Canis lupus familiaris: one gene and its partner. The protein of the gene in region 1 binds, or shares a complex with, the protein of each later gene. Links are inferred from orthologs where the notes say so. Each region holds a gene or a part of one and is shown in the gene's direction. Other genes may lie near its edges.

What was found. The genes of interacting proteins can lie anywhere in the genome.
Region 2: the proteins of WDR20 (region 1) and USP12 are in contact, whole or in part, in a crystal structure (PDB 5K1C), measured with the Homo sapiens proteins. The link is inferred for Canis lupus familiaris from reciprocal best matches to the Homo sapiens genes WDR20 and USP12. Residues at the interface, in NP_653175.2 of Homo sapiens: Asn41, Ser42, Gly44, Ser45, Arg151, Ser170, Lys259, Ser260, Tyr261, Phe262, Gly263, Glu282, Asp283, Asp284, Leu285, His301, Lys304, Ser305, Trp306, Gln374, Asp375, Thr376, Arg516, Met517, His533, Glu534, Arg535; in NP_872294.2 of Homo sapiens: Glu207, Asn209, Thr210, Ser211, Thr213, His214, Arg217, Arg277, Val279, Phe280, Pro281, Leu282, Glu283, Leu284, Arg285, Phe287, Asp297, Met299, Gln342, Glu345, Tyr348, Thr351, Ser352.

Annotation. Positions count from the first base shown.
Region 1 is NC_049229.1:70,591,329-70,598,944, forward strand, and holds part of WDR20 (WD repeat-containing protein 20), read left to right. Parts: intron 1-1,896; coding exon of another isoform or gene 1,897-1,948; intron 1,949-3,320; coding exon 3,321-3,503; intron 3,504-7,616. UniProt on the Homo sapiens protein: Regulator of deubiquitinating complexes. Activates deubiquitinating activity of complexes containing USP12. Anchors at the base of the ubiquitin-contacting loop of USP12 and remotely modulates the catalytic center of the enzyme.
Region 2 is NC_049246.1:12,503,157-12,510,772, forward strand, and holds part of USP12 (ubiquitin carboxyl-terminal hydrolase 12), read left to right. Parts: intron 1-5,637; coding exon 5,638-5,851; intron 5,852-7,616. UniProt on the Homo sapiens protein: Deubiquitinating enzyme that plays various roles in the regulation of the immune response and inflammation.

The DNA of each region.
Region 1 (7,616 bases):
TCTGGGTTCTTTCTCCTGACTTCCTTTCCCTGGGAAGCCATCTAGCAACACCATGCAGAAGAGGCATGGCTGTTCAGGTGGTTATTACTGCTACTAAAATGTGTGTGAATTCAGTGTCTGTGTTGGCACCCCTCCACCCCCAAAGAAGAGAGGAAGAGGAGGAAGAAGAAATAGGACACCAACACATTAATAGGAAAAGAGATCGAGGGGCAGCCCCGGTGGCGCAGCGGTTTAGCGCCGCCTGCAGCCCAGGGCGTGATCCTGGAGACCTGGGATCGAGTCCCACGTCAGGCTCTCTGTGTGGTGCCTGCGTCTCCCTCTGCCTGTGTCTCTGCCTCTCTCTGTCTCTATGAATAAATAAAATAAATAAAATAAAATCTTTAAAAAAAAAAGGAAAAGAGATCGAACTTGGTGATTGGTTGCAGAAGAAAGAGGACAAAATGGGTCAGAGATGACGGCATTGCTCGAGATGAAGGCAGGTACTGGTAACCAGACTTTCTCCCTCTGGTGTTGGGCTCCATATAGCTCAGTGACCTGTGGTGGAGTCCATGGGTTTCTCAGAAGTCGAATTTCTTACAGGCATATACCTAGCAGTCACATAGGGCTTCATAGTAGTTTGTGCTTGCTGTAAGGGCCATGTTGCTTGCTGTTCTAGTAAGGCTGGTGCCGTTGGGGGTTGGGGACAGGGAGTCACCCCAGATGAGAGAGATTCTGAGTGTTTCTTGGGCCTCGGTTTACTTTTGTGCCTCCTAGGGCAGTGCTTCTCACCAGTGTTGAAGGACCAATTGTTAAAATTTTCCATCTGTCTAGACTGCTACTTTATTAAAATTTTAAAAAAAAGATACTGGGAAACAAAATGATAGAGGTGCACAATACAAATTCTAATTTTTATTATTGAGTCAATAGAAAGTTACTCTGTCCGATTGCCATAAAAGTTTCTAAATGCTTATTCTCATCTCTGTACTTAATCTTGCCTGTAGACTGGCGCAGACTGGTACACTGTGAGAGCCCTGGTCTGGGAAGAAAGTTGTTAAGCAGATTAGTAAGCAGGATGTTTTGGGACTATTTACATGATTTAAGAGTAAAAGTAGTCTTTCTATTGGCATTTAAAATACATGTAATCTAATTACAGATGACATCTTTTCAATAAAGTTCCTTATTAGGCAGGATATATAGTAAATATACCAAGAAGTGAGCTAATGTAGTTACTGGGAGGGGTCTGTAAGTTTAACTCTACCCTAGTAACAATATTCAGGAAAATGGATGTGCTTACTTCCTCTGTTGTTTCTGAAAACCATTGGATGTTCTTTTGCTCATTTAATTTATATTGTTTTCTCTGCTAATTTTTGTCTTGCCTTTGAATTGATTTTTATAGTTTTGTGCATAATTTTAGATATGTTCTTTAAGGGGGAAATTCCCTAAGCAAACTTTAAAAAAAATTCTCAGATATATGCTGGTGTAGAGATCATGTAATAATTGTATGTATTTTAGATTTGGTTTTTGTCTCTAGCTGCCAATGTCTTTTTCTAGCTTGGGCTCTTTTGACATTTACCAATACCTTCTCTGCTCTGAAATTATTTGCTAAAGGTCCCTTAGTCTAGCTGCTTTTTCCCTGCTTTCAGGACCCATCCTGGGAGCAGCTTCCCTCAGGTGGCCTGTCCCTGGCCTGTCCCTGTGGGGGAACGGGAGGGGGCAGAGGTGGCTTTCTCTGGCCCCTGAAGCTCCCTCATACCTCCTCAGGGCACAGCCTTCAGCCTGCCTCAGCACTTACTCCCTTCTGAACTGGCCCCATTTCGCCTTGCTGCAAAGTCAGGACTTCCCTGTGTTTTGTATCGTGCTTTATATTACACTTTTCAAGCCTCTTTCACGTATATATTCTCTTATTTCATCCTCCAGACAATCCCATGAGGTTGGTAGAACAGAGATTCTCATCTCCGTTTTAACCGAGGTGAGGCTGGGAGAGTGTCCGCATGGCATGTATCTTCATTCCTCAGCCCTGGGCTCTCAGAGATCCTGTTCCACTCGGGTCCACACTTCAAATGCTCGGGTTTGGAGTTTGCTCAAAGATGCCTGTGATTTTTGAGTTCCTCTTTTCTACTCAGTATTTGTGTTTGTTATTTGGAAAATGAAACAGAATCCTCGGCACAATGTCACAGGCCTCTTTGGGGGAAAGACATTTTCAGAACCTAACTCAGGGTTTGGTCAGCAGATAACGAGAGCCGTGGCCCCAGTGGTTGTGTCAGAGGATGGGCTCAGCAGCCTGGTTGTCTGCACCTGTGACTTCCCACTAAGACTGGAGGGTGGTGTCCTTAATTTCCACGTGAATCCAGCACATTAGATTGCACAGAACATTTCTCATGAAGAAAAAAGTCCTGCTTTAGGGATTTAGGGGGAGGCAGATTGAAAAATCACTTTTGGCCCAAGTCAGAAATATTTGCTTCTGACTTTGGGGTGTGTGTTCTCCCCATCCCTTTTATGGTCAAACAGACCTGGGTTCCACATCCAGTTGCTTATTTACTTAGGTAGGTATGGTGGCCGAGTTATTTAACCTCCCTAAGCTTGTTTTCTCATCTGCAAAATGGGGGAACGTTCTCTACTTTGAGGGATCATTGTAAGGTTTAAAGATGATGCGTGTCACGCACTTTGGAGTGTGGCCTCAGTAAGTGAAGGTACCTGAAAGCTAATGCAGAAGAGGGACCGGGACCCACTAAGAAGGCACCTGCTTATAATTGGCTGCAGCAGTGGTTCTCAAATCTGGAGTGAGCATCGGAATCACCTGGAAGGCTTGCTAGGCCCACCCCTGTAGTTTCAGATTCATTTGATGTGGGGTGGGGCTTGAGAGTTTGCATTTCTGAGTTTCCAGGTGATGCTGCTGCTGCCACCAATGGTCTCGGGACCACACTTTGAGAACCCCTGGGCTACAGGTAACTCACCAGTGAGCATTTAGATGCCGTAGATACATTTGCAAGCTGAGTTTTTATGTGGTTAGAGGTACTCTGTTAGAAATTGCTTGGAATGAATGCATTTTGCAAATACTGAATTAGTTATCTCAAGTTTTCCTCCTGAAGTCCAGGAGCTTATGTTAAAGATATTTGAAGAATAAGTCATGGAGGTAACAGTTATATTATGAATAGTTTGACAATATCAAATTGGCTTATGTATGTGAAAGTGCTTTTACAAAATGCTGAAAACTGAAACAAAAATTTAAATACCTTTGTTTTTAAGATTGAACATCGTAATGGAGTATAAAATAGTGTAACTATTAGATTTCTCATCTCAATGTGCTGTTTACCGTATGTATTTTTCTCTTTCTCCTCCAGGCTGCTGACTTGAGTAAACCAATAGATAAAAGGATATACAAAGGAACACAGCCTACTTGTCATGACTTCAACCACCTAACAGCCACAGCAGAAAGTGTCTCTCTCCTAGTGGGCTTTTCCGCAGGCCAAGTCCAGCTTATAGATCCAATCAAAAAAGAAACTAGCAAACTATTTAATGAGGAAGTAAGTAGCACCCTGTCTTAGCTGTTAAGAATCCCTTTAAGAATTTATACGTTCTTACCAAGGGCAGTGGGCCTTATTTTACACGCCGAGCTAAAGCCCATTTTTCATTCTTTCACTGTCCTACCTAGTATTACCCGTTTAAATGTGGTGATTAACTTGTTGACATATCTATTCTTCCTTGGGGGAACTGTTTTGTGCAATTTTTATGGAGCGTGCTCAGCTGCCTTTAGCAGGTGCTTTAAAACTCTTTTATAATGGAGACAGGGACAAAACTGTCACTTGATATTTATAGCTTAAATAAGAAAATACAGAATTCTGGACCTTGTTCACATCACCAGAAAATTTCATGCAGATTGAAGAACTTGATAATATTTCCTTAGGCCACTTAAATTGTAGCTCAGTCTTTTGTGTCTCCATTTGACAGGTGTTTGGCTAAAGAGTAGCTTTCTTTCTCTTAGAGATATTTGCTGTAACATCACCTTTGACATATTTGAAATGCTGGCATTTAAAGATGGATCACAGGACGTAGCTTTTGCTAGTCTTATAGCATGTGTTTGATTTCTAGCGTCTCCAGTTTTGTTCTGGAAGGAGCCTGAGCTATGTGAGCTGTGTGTTCAGGAACAGGTCAGAACTGTTAGATGTGGCACGTAACAGTTGCCACATAGATGGTGTATGGTAAAGCTGTCGGGGGTGCTTTTCGGCCGCAGAATTGCCATTTGTAGATTCAGTGTTCTCACTTCTCTGTTTCAGTGTGACTTTCTCAGCAAATGGAAAAGTTGTAAGGGGCTTGCCAGTCTAGAAGCCCAGGGCCCCAGGGTTGACTTGTGACCTCGACCCTGATGTGACAAGAGTCAGGTTACATAGGACCCCTCTCTTAGGAAGGACACATGGTTTTTTGCTGTTTCCTGGTTTTGATGTTATAAGCTTGAAATAGAAGTGCATTATAGGTTCTGGTTTATAAGAAATAATTTGGTGGGGGGGCAATAATATTCAAGTTGACAGATTGCAGTTAAAATGTGGATTCTTTTGCAGTGTCCTGGCCCACACTGTCCACACACAGCTGGTCCCCATCCACAATGCTTCTGTTTGGCATTGCCAATGGATTTGGTGAGATCTCTTGAACCAGGCCATCTCCTTTTCTAGTTTCAACTGGGTTGACAGGAAACAGAACTTGCCATGTGGATTGACAAAACTCTAGAAGAGAAGTATTTATCCCATTTTCTGTTAAAAATAAGTCTGAAGCAGAAAACTTTTATTTACCTAAATGTTTTATTAATAACATCTGAGGAAGTGATTTCCTGGTAGCTGAATGATTTTTTTCTCCCCTCCTGGTGGTGGTTGTGGGGGAGCAACCACTCTTTGCATTGTCACCAGAAACTGAATTTGGAGTCATTGTGGGATTTTGTTTGTATTCAGGTAGGGGGCATGTTGTTGAGGAGGAAGGGCTATTGGCAAATGAGATCAGGAGGCTCCTCCCGCTGAGGATGGCACAGAATGCCACTTTGAGAACAAGAGGGGCTTGTGTGTCATCATGGGGGAGGCAGGAGTCTTGGGGCTCTGAGAGTGCTCAGATGCATCAGCCAGATCTGTCTCTTGCTCTGGACAGCAGTAGGGATTGCAGGCTAGGAAGCAGCTCCTCACTTGGTGATTCAAGCATGAGCGGTTTCATACTTGTCTTATATTTTATTTGAAAAATGTCTGTTCACCATACTAGGGCTGTGTATGGTTAAATTCCAGCTTGGCACTTATAGCATGAGGCTTTCACAGTAAGGAAATTCTTTGGCTGTGTGGATACGATTTTCATCAGATTTTGGTCAGGATGTGTAAGAGCAAGGGTCATTAGAGGTTTGTTTCTCCAAGAGTGCCAGGAATGGTGGTGAAAGCCATCATCACGCCATGCTTTGCATTGGTATGAGAGTTAGCGGTTTCAGAGTGTTTAATATTTGTCCTCTTCATGGTTGGGTGAGTAGCTGTTAGCATCTCACAGATGAGGAAATAGTCAAAGAGAAGGTAAGTGAATTGTCCAGGCAGGTAGTACGTTGACTACAGAGGTGGAACTGAAATTACTTTCACAGACTGTAAGCCCCACCACATGTGGTCGCCAGATGGCTGGGCCTCTGTGTTCCTAGGAGCTCACAGTTTAGTAAGGCAGATGGATAGGGTACTGGGGCATGTTATCAGGGTGTCAGGAGCAAAGTGCCAGAGGATATGTGTTAACTGTATTCTTCAGTGTGTATCAAATACCATAAAGCAGAAGTTAAGTTTGATGGAGGAAGTCTGAGATTTCCAGAAGGTGACACTTAATCTGGGTCTTGAAAGATGCACAGGAATTGGGGAAGGGTGAGAGAGGCTCTCAGAGCTGAAGCAAACTGCTTGGTATGCAGAGGAGTGTTGGGTGGCCAGGCATGATCATGGCAGCAGGTAGGCCTCAGAGAGGTGGGAGGCGGAGCCAGCGGGTGCGCCGTCGGAACCAGACTGTAAATGCCCTGACATGCTGAGAGGCTTGGATCTGACGCTGGAGGCTGTAAAGGTAGTTTTGGGCTTCTGATCAAGAGAGTGACCGTGTCAAGTGTGTCCTTTAGAGTGCTTGTCAGTGCTTGTGGAGGGTGGGTCAGAATGGAGAGAGAGTAGCAGGGTGACAAGTGAGGAGGCTGGTGCCTGTTTGTGTGAGGGCTGAGGGCTTGAACGAGAGCAGCGACCATGTCTCATCCAGGCAACAGACCTTGGTTACCTTCTGTGTGCCTACTCGAGCCTGCCCTGTAGATACCTGCTGAGAGAGGGGTAGATATGTAAACAGTAGCACCCCTCACACACGCTTGGGGCAAATGGTGACATGTGCCAGTTGAGGAGGCAGAGGCCGGGGCGGGGGCGGGGGGGCGGGCAGGGAGAGGCACAGGGGTGGTGGAGGACATTTCATGAAGTAGTTGCTGTGCTCTAGCTGGAACCTCCCCTGAGGAGGCGGCCAGCCATGGAACAGCTTGAGATGGAGAGTTTCCCAGAAGGGAGAGCAGGTAAAGGCCTTGAGTAGGAAAGAAGCTGAGACCAGGAGAATGGAGAGGGGGCCATGGACCCGGGGAGGGTGGTGTACCAGGAGGCTGTGAGACCGGAGTGTGGTGCCACTTAGGGTGGCGCCCAGCTGTTGCCTCTTGGCTGAGGCGTGCGATTCCCACAGAAGGAAGCAGGAGCACAAGGTCAGGCTGGTGTTTTTGAAAATTCCCTGGCTACTGCTCGGAGATTGAATTGGAGAGAGGCATGAACACTGGTAGGTTTCTGGCTGTCCCTTCCACACTGGGGAAGACTGAAGAAGGAGTAGGTTTGGGGAGTGGAGGGAAAGATCAGAGTTCAATTCTGTACTTGACAAGCTTCAAAGGCTGGTAGATGTTAGATACATGGACCTGGAGCCCAAAACCAGGGATGAAAATGCAGGAATTCGGCATGTAAATAGTCATCACCTCCCTGAGATCAGACGAAAGATCTGCGGAGAAAGTGTAGTGAGAGCAAAGAAGACTACCAGGCTCTTACTGTCCCCCCAACACTCTGGCCTGCTCGTCATGTGGCCTCCACAGGGCACTTTATTCCCTGCAACTTAGGGACTCAGCCTAGTGGCTCAGAACACTTGAGCCTGGATGCCTCCCTGCTCCCACCCCCACCCCACCTGGAAAGAGCGGTGAGGACGGACATTGTTGAGCAAAGGTCTGAGAGCATGAACCCTTGGCTGTTCTGCAGTTTGCAGAAAGAGGGGAAGCCCACGGAGCACCTTCCATTCAGGGGTGGAAAGAAGGGCTCCTTGGAAGGGGAGATACCAGCAGTTTTGAAGGAGAAGCCAGTAGGTGTCCAGGACAGCCCAGGCAGAGAGTGCCCGTGTGTAAAGCTTGGGGGAGGGGGGGCTAACTGCTTATCTCATTGGTCCCGAGTGCTCACCTGAGTGCTTCTCTCTGCTGCCTGTCATACACATGTACACGTGCACACACACCCCAGTACCGATTTCCACTTTTGCTTCCCTTGTACGGGTTCTTGGCCCATGAAAATATGGCAGATGCTTGTGTGGCTTGATGGATGGATGGAATTAGAGTCCAGAAATCCACGACATTAAAGATAGATAGAAATATCTGG
Region 2 (7,616 bases), on another chromosome or scaffold:
GGGACTGTGGAGTATATGAAGTATATGGAAGGGCACTTTTAGATTAGGTCCACTTGGTTGTAGTGAGAATGGTGGGTAGGGGAATGTGGGGTATAGTGTTAAAAAACAGGGCCACTAAACATACTGTGGTAGGGGAAGAAGAGGGTCTTCCCTTAGAAGGGAATGTCCACAGGACAGGCATCATCATTATCAGCATAGCAGACAGTGGAGCGTTTAAACATTTTACAACATCTTTTGAAGGCAATACTGTTAACATAATGTTGGTAAACACTTGTAGTCTCCAAATGATGTATGTAGGATGAACAAATTAGAGTATGGGGAGAAATACAGAGTTGTTATTGTTTATTTTTAACTAAAAATGAGAGATAAGCCTTAGAAATTCTTTTTTAAAAAGATTTATTTACTCATTTTATAGAGAGAAAGCACGAGCAGTGGGTTGGGGGGACAGAGGGAGACGGAGGGAATCTCAAGCAGACTCCCTGCTGAGTGTACGGCCCTATCCATCCCCTGGGATCTCCATCCGGAGATTATGATCAGAGTCAAAATCAAGAGTCAGACGCTCAACCCACTGAGCCATCCAGATGCCCCAGCCTTCCTAATTCTTAATAAATGTGTGATACTGGTATCCATACTCTGTGTGAAGTGGTCTTATGGTACTTCAAGTTCTGTAGCACCAGAGTTGACAGTATAACCAGCTCTTACTCATTTATGCGGTTGCAAACTATTATCATTTCAATGTAGATTTATAAATTATATGATTTAATTTCAGTTCATCTAACTTTTCTAAATGGACAGATGACTTAAAAAGATGGTTTCAAAAATAATAATGCAGTGATAAAGTCCTGGGAACTGTTGTTAGTGCTTCATATGGATTATTTAATTCTTTACAAAATTTTAGAAGGTGGGCACTGTATTATAAACCCCATTTACAGATGAGGAAGCAGATGAATGAACAGAGTGGTTTAGTAATTTCTCAAGCCCGGATACGGAACCAGACTTGAACCTAGACAGTCGGTTTCAGAGCCTGTGCACTTAGTTTCTCTGGTACTCTAGTTGCTTCTCAGACTATCAATCCGAGTATTAAAAATCTATAACCCCAGTTTACCAGAAGGCCTACTCATCTTCATTGCTCTCAAATATGAATAATTTTTAGTAAAAATAAAATCAATCTAAGTAAGATAAAAATTTTAAGTATTTACTTTGTCTTCATGACATTTGTTTTACAGTTGACTGTTGAACAACATGGGTTTGAGCTGCCCAGGTCTATCTATATGCATTTTGGGTAGGGTTATAAATACAGTATAGTATTATATATATTTTTTCTCATGATTTAATAGCATTTTCTTTAGCCTACTTTATTATAAGAATACAGTATATAATACATATAAGATACAAAATATGAGTTGATTGTTATTAATAAGGCTTCTGGTCAACAGTAGTCTTAGTAAAGTTTTTGGGAAATTGAAAGTTACATGCTGACTTTTGACTTTGTGAGGAGTCAGCTCCCCCAACTCCCACATTGTTTAAAGGCTAACTGGATCTAGTGTATATTTTTATGTATATAAATTTTACATTTTATAAAAGTATACTTTATGTAATGTAGCACATTAGGGATGTGTGCTCAAAAATGATCTTAGTGATGAGGATATAATAAATATTTGTGGAGGAGGCATTTATTTTAAAACTAGGAAAAAATGGTGTTACAGAAAGCAGCACAGGTCATTGTGTTCAATAGGCAACTGAAAAATCAATGGTCAGACCTTGAGGGTAGCAGCTTTTTAAAATTTATTTCTCCTGATTTTAAACCTGGTTATACCTTTGATCTTCAGAAAAGCTGAGAAGATACAGGGTAGACTTCAACCCTAAAGCAATGTCTTTTTTAGAAATTGAACATTTGTAAACAAGAATGTGGGGGAAATCATTCCAGATAATCTTTTGCATGAAAGCGACACACAAGAAAGATATATTTTTAGGTTTTAGGAATTTGAAAGTAAATTACTATCAGAGAAGCTGAAGAGAAAAGTTTCAGAGTTATGAATAAGATTGAAAGTGATTGCTTATTCTGGAGAAGTTGTAGTAGTTTCAATCTTTAATTTTTCTTTAATGGGATTGATGAAGATAAGTGCAGGATCAGAGAAGACCTCAAAGAATTAATTACAATTTTACCTGTTGTTTTATATTCAGAAGATGAGCGAGAGGCTACCTTCCAGCATTCTGTACAATGTAATAGACTCCCTGTTTCCTTAGCTTATCCCACTTGTTTCTTTTTTTATAAGTTGGTCAAGCTTTATTATAAATTTTTCTAATGTCCTGTGAGATGCTATCTTTAGTTTTTACCTACTCTGTGTAAGTCATTAGAGTCCCTATTGCTTATTCTCCAAAAAAAAATGTCCAAATTATGGAGATTGAGTCTTCTCTTTAATTGACAGAGGCATAGTCAGTCATTAGTGTCATTAGACTGTGATACAAATACTAGTATTTTTTAGACTAATATTGAGTAATTGATAGATTAATTTTTGTAATATTGTAGGTTCTACTGCAGGTGTACCTTAGCCCCTGGATAGGCTTTATTAAAGTATCCATAGTTATATTTATCTATAGTATCAGTGGATCATCTGCTTATCATCTGCTTTTTTTTTTTAGCATTTCTCTGGAAAGTCTTTAAAGCATCTGTTTTTATGAACCACTTCTTGGCTCTGGCCAGCAATATGAATGTAAAAATCAGGTATCCTCGCTGGGCCTCATGTTCTATTCCTTTTTATAGTATTGTTTAACTCATTTCTCTTTCCTTGAATATCTTGTAAATTGGTAGGTATGTCCAGACACTTGATTAAAATTTAGTAGTTTTGTTTTTTAAAACAAGAATACTTCATAAGAATTGCTACATATTTCTACAAGAGACATACAGTGTGGTGGTTTATTTTTAATGATGTTGGAATGCACCTGGTGTTCAGGTCATTTTAAAAGTTCCCGATCAGGCTTTAATGCTTTGGTGTTCATTGATAATTAATTATTGCCTAATCCATTGTTTACAGTCATTTCTTCTGAATTTATTAGCTGGAATTATGCTATAAGCTAGTACTTCTTCATCAACTATTTAGTTCCCTCTGAAATACTATTCTTATAAGAAAGACAAGATAAGGGACGTGTGGGTAGCTCAGTTGGTTAAGCATTCGACTCTTGATTTTGGCTCAGATCATGGTTTCAGGATCATGGGATTAAGCCCCAAGTCTGGCTCCACGCTGGATATGGGCCTGCTTGGGATTCTCTCACTCTGCCCCTACCCATCCCATCCCACCCCATGCTCATGCTCTCTCTCGCTCTCCAAAAAAAAAAGGAAGACAAAACTTTGACGCTTTCCCTTTATATATTAGTTTATAATTTCCGTGAAGACTAATGAAGGGTTTTTAAAAAGTCATTATTCATAAATTTTTATGTAGTTGATGTGCTTTTTATCAATCACAGTATTTCTTTTTGATGAAAGTTGGCTCTTGAATCCACATAAAGAGGTATTTTCGGCTAATCTGCATTTGTATATTTCCTGTCCCAGACCTAGTGTAGCCATATCTGCAAGGCATCCTAGTTCCTTTTTGTGGGAAAATGGTTTTTTGAGATTACAGTCAGTGTGCCAGGAAATTTGGGGCTGCTTGCTAGGTCTTTTTGGTGGATAGAAGTTGAAAACACACACACACTTATAAAAAGACATGAGCTTATACTGATACTTCAGATTCCAATTTAAGTTTATAGGGCTTTTACTCTTACCTTAATTATTGTGTCTTTTTTCTTTTGCATTAACAGTTTGGGTTCCTAAGGATATTAACGTAATTCTTTGCTTGCTTTGTCCTACAAAAATATATAGTAATTTCAAAATAACAGTGTCAATTAATTAGTTCTAACAATGTGATTACTGAATGCATTTAAGATTTCTTTTTTTATTCTCAGACTGTTTCAGTAGGCATGTATAGTAAAAATTCTGTGTTTTAAAGTTGCTCAAACTAATTTTTTGTGTAATTCTCCAGTGGACTAGATAAACATTTAGGTTTCGCTGATCTCTGTTTCCTTTCAGCTTTAGGAATTTCTTTTTTTCCTCTGAGATCTTTTCGATTTAACTTACTTAAAAAAAAAAAAAAAAACCAGTGCAAAGCAAATGCTTTTAAAAATGTACCTTGATTCCTCTCCACTTTCTCCATAAATAACCATTTTTATTAGTTTTTAAATATAAGCAAACACGGACATGTCTGTGGATATGTGTTTGACATTGCCCCTTTTTAAAAAGATTTATTTATTCATTTTTAGAGAGTGTGTGTATGAGTGGGAAGGTGGTAGTGGAGAGACAGAGGGAGAGGGAGAGAGAGAGAATCTCTTATGCGCTGAGTGCAGAGCCTGAGTTGGGGCTTGATCCATGGCCCAAGATGACGATGAGATCACCACCAAGCAGAAACTAAGAATCTGGCGCATAACCAGCAGGGCCACCCAGGTGCCCCTATATTGCCCATTCTTAAAACAGTCTTTTCTGCCTAACTTTTTAGGTAGTATGTGACATCATTGCAGGTAGTGCTGTGAAAATTGCCCTCTTTCCTTTTTTTATACTTTCAAAGTCTCCCCAAGTCTTCATCGATCAACTCTTGGATGTTTTATCAGCCGGCTTTGGGAGCCAGTATCTATTAATGGGAAGGGAAAAGGAAGACAATAAATGTTGCCAAAATGTGTGTCATTTTCTCATAAGGCGATATTATTTTTCCCCATTATTAAAGAGGAGGAAGTTGAAGTTCAGGAAGCTGTAGTTACACACTCCAGATCACATGGCCAGTAGGAAGTTGGTTAGTAGTTGAGGATTGAATGCACCTGAAGTCTGTTTGTAATAGATCACAAGTGATGTGACTGGGCATCACAGCATTTCAGTGGTGGTCATGCTGGCACATTGAAAATTTTTAACAGTTCAGAGGATCTCATTTTACTTCACTTTTTAATTTTTGGTGTTTGTTACTGTTAATAAAAGGTTTTTTATTCGACAGAGAGCTCGAGAGCATGAGCAGGGGAAGAGGATCAGAGGTAGAGGGAAGAGCAAATTCTGCTGAGCAGGAAAGTCCCATTCGGGCTCCATCCCAGGACCCTGGGATCTTGACCTGAGCTGAAGGCAGACCCTCAACTGACTGAGTCACCCAGGGGTCCCTTGTTTTTATATTTGAATGGCACTTAATCTGATAGAATACCTCAGTTTTGTGGGGGTTTTTAAATAATTTTTGAGAGTTCTATTTTAAAATGTATAATATATGAAATGTTTAGGGTCCAAAATGCAGCAAATGGAAATTGAAGAAGAAATTATACAGAATTCTAAGCCTTAACTATTCTCACTGTTTAAACTGTATAGTTTAAGTCAGTTTTCATAACAACCAAATTTATTACATATTTTTTCCTTCAGTTTTAACCTGAAGCCAATGCCTAGAGCATCCATTTAATGTTAAGATGGCAAATTTGCAGTCGGAGTAATTATTTCTACTCTCAGATGACTTTTAATTTATGAGGATCATAAGTTCACTGCCTTCCTTCTGTTTTCTTAACTATACACATGGAAATTCTTTCTCTTGAAAATGTGTTGCCCCAAGTTTAACAAGATTTTTTTTTTTTCTATTCTAGTTTGGGAATACCTGCTACTGTAATTCAGTTCTTCAAGCACTTTATTTTTGTCGTCCATTTCGGGAAAAAGTTCTAGCGTACAAGAGCCAACCTAGGAAGAAGGAGAACCTTCTTACCTGCCTAGCAGACCTCTTCCATAGTATAGCGACTCAGAAGAAGAAGGTTGGGGTGATTCCTCCTAAGAAGTTCATAACAAGATTACGGAAGGAAAATGGTAATTCTTCTACTTCTGAATGTATTTTCACATAACAGGAAGGGTAAATACAGCATATTAGATTTCATCAAGCACTGACCAAGCGTCTTCCAAGCCTGAAGGATGTTAGCCATTGGAAAACCAAAGTTGATGTTCTTGTCTTTAAGGAAGTACTACCAGTTTAGTGAGGAGATAGTCACACAGTAATTTAATAGGAGGTGTGATTAATGTTGGAAGTATGTTCTGCAAAGACCAAATTCTGTATGCCAGGAAATGAGAAATGATAACTTGTTTTGTTTTCTTTCTTTTCTTTTCTTTTCTTTTCTTTTCTTTTCTTTTCTTTTCTTTTCTCTCTTTCTCTTTCTCTTTCTCTTTCTCTTTCTCCTCCTCTTTCTCTTTCTCCTCCTCCTCCTCCTCCTTCTTCTTCTTTTCTTTTTTCTTCTTCTTTCTTCCTTTTTTTTTTTTTTTTTTGTTGGTGCCTGCTTGGCTTTCCTATCCAGAGTGAAGTTGGGTTCCCCCCCACCCCCGTCGTGTTATTTGTAGTTTTTGTAATGCTTTTATGTATATTAACCTATTTGATCCTTATATACTATCCTGAATTAGGGAGCAGGTTATTTCCCCCATTTTAGCCATACAAGGAGTGGAAGCCAAAAAGCTTGCCAGGGGTCATACTTCAGGAGAAAAGCCAGAATAATAAAACTTTTTGGCTTAGGGTAGGTGGTTTTAACTCCACTCACCTCCTTTTTAAAATAGTTACTGATTAAGCCTCACTTCTTTTTTCTCCCCTAAATGTTTTTCGTCTAATGCGCATAGCAAACCCTGAAGTCATGTTATTACCTCACTTTACATGAGATAGTGAATCTCAGAGTACTTAAAATGGCTTGTCCCATCTTCCTGACATCCAGATCCTATATTCTGTCTAGTGTGGTATGTTACCTCAAGAAATTTAAGTGGGATTTAAGGAGCATGTAGAATGCTGGGTTTTGTTTGATTTAGGCATTTTTATCATTGTAGAAATAAAATTGAGTGGTGTTTTTAGTTTGATTTGTTATCAAAAGATGCCCCCAGAAATAAGATTTGATAGGTCTTTGAGACTGGTTATTAAACACACCATTAAATAATCCTTTCCTTAACTCAGTTGGCATTGTTCATTATCCCATGAATTGAGATAAACCTGGATCATATCTAGTTTCCCAAAATGTAAGAAGACACTGAGAAAATATGGCGATAAGCTGTTGTTCTTGAATCTGATTCACGTGTTAGAGATTTTGTTCGTTTCCACCATATTCAGATAAAAAGCAGTTAATCATTCGCTCACAAAAATACATCTTTTTGTGTTTTCCCTATAAAGGCTAAACATCTTTACTTTCTTAAATTATTGATCTGTGTAGTATCTTCTACTTTTAAGAATGCCAAATACAGCTCTGCTAGAATGTAGCTGAGTGATCCAAGTCCTCTCAGTCTTTTTGTGTGTATTGGTATGAAACTTCAAGAATTTTGTCCTAGAAGAAAATTCACGTATGTGGTAATTGAACATGCCATCCTTTCTTGGTGATTTTTTTTTTTTTTTGTATTTTAGCAATGTTCAGCATCAAAAACATGAAACACAAAATACATATTCTTTTTAAAAAATATTTATTTATTCATAAGAGACACAGAGAGAGAGGCAGAGACACAGGCAGAGGAAGAAGCAGGCTCCATGCAGGGAGCCTGATGTGGGACTCTATCCCGGGACTCCGGGATCAGGCCCTGAGCCAAAGGCAGATGCTCAACCGCTGAGCCACCA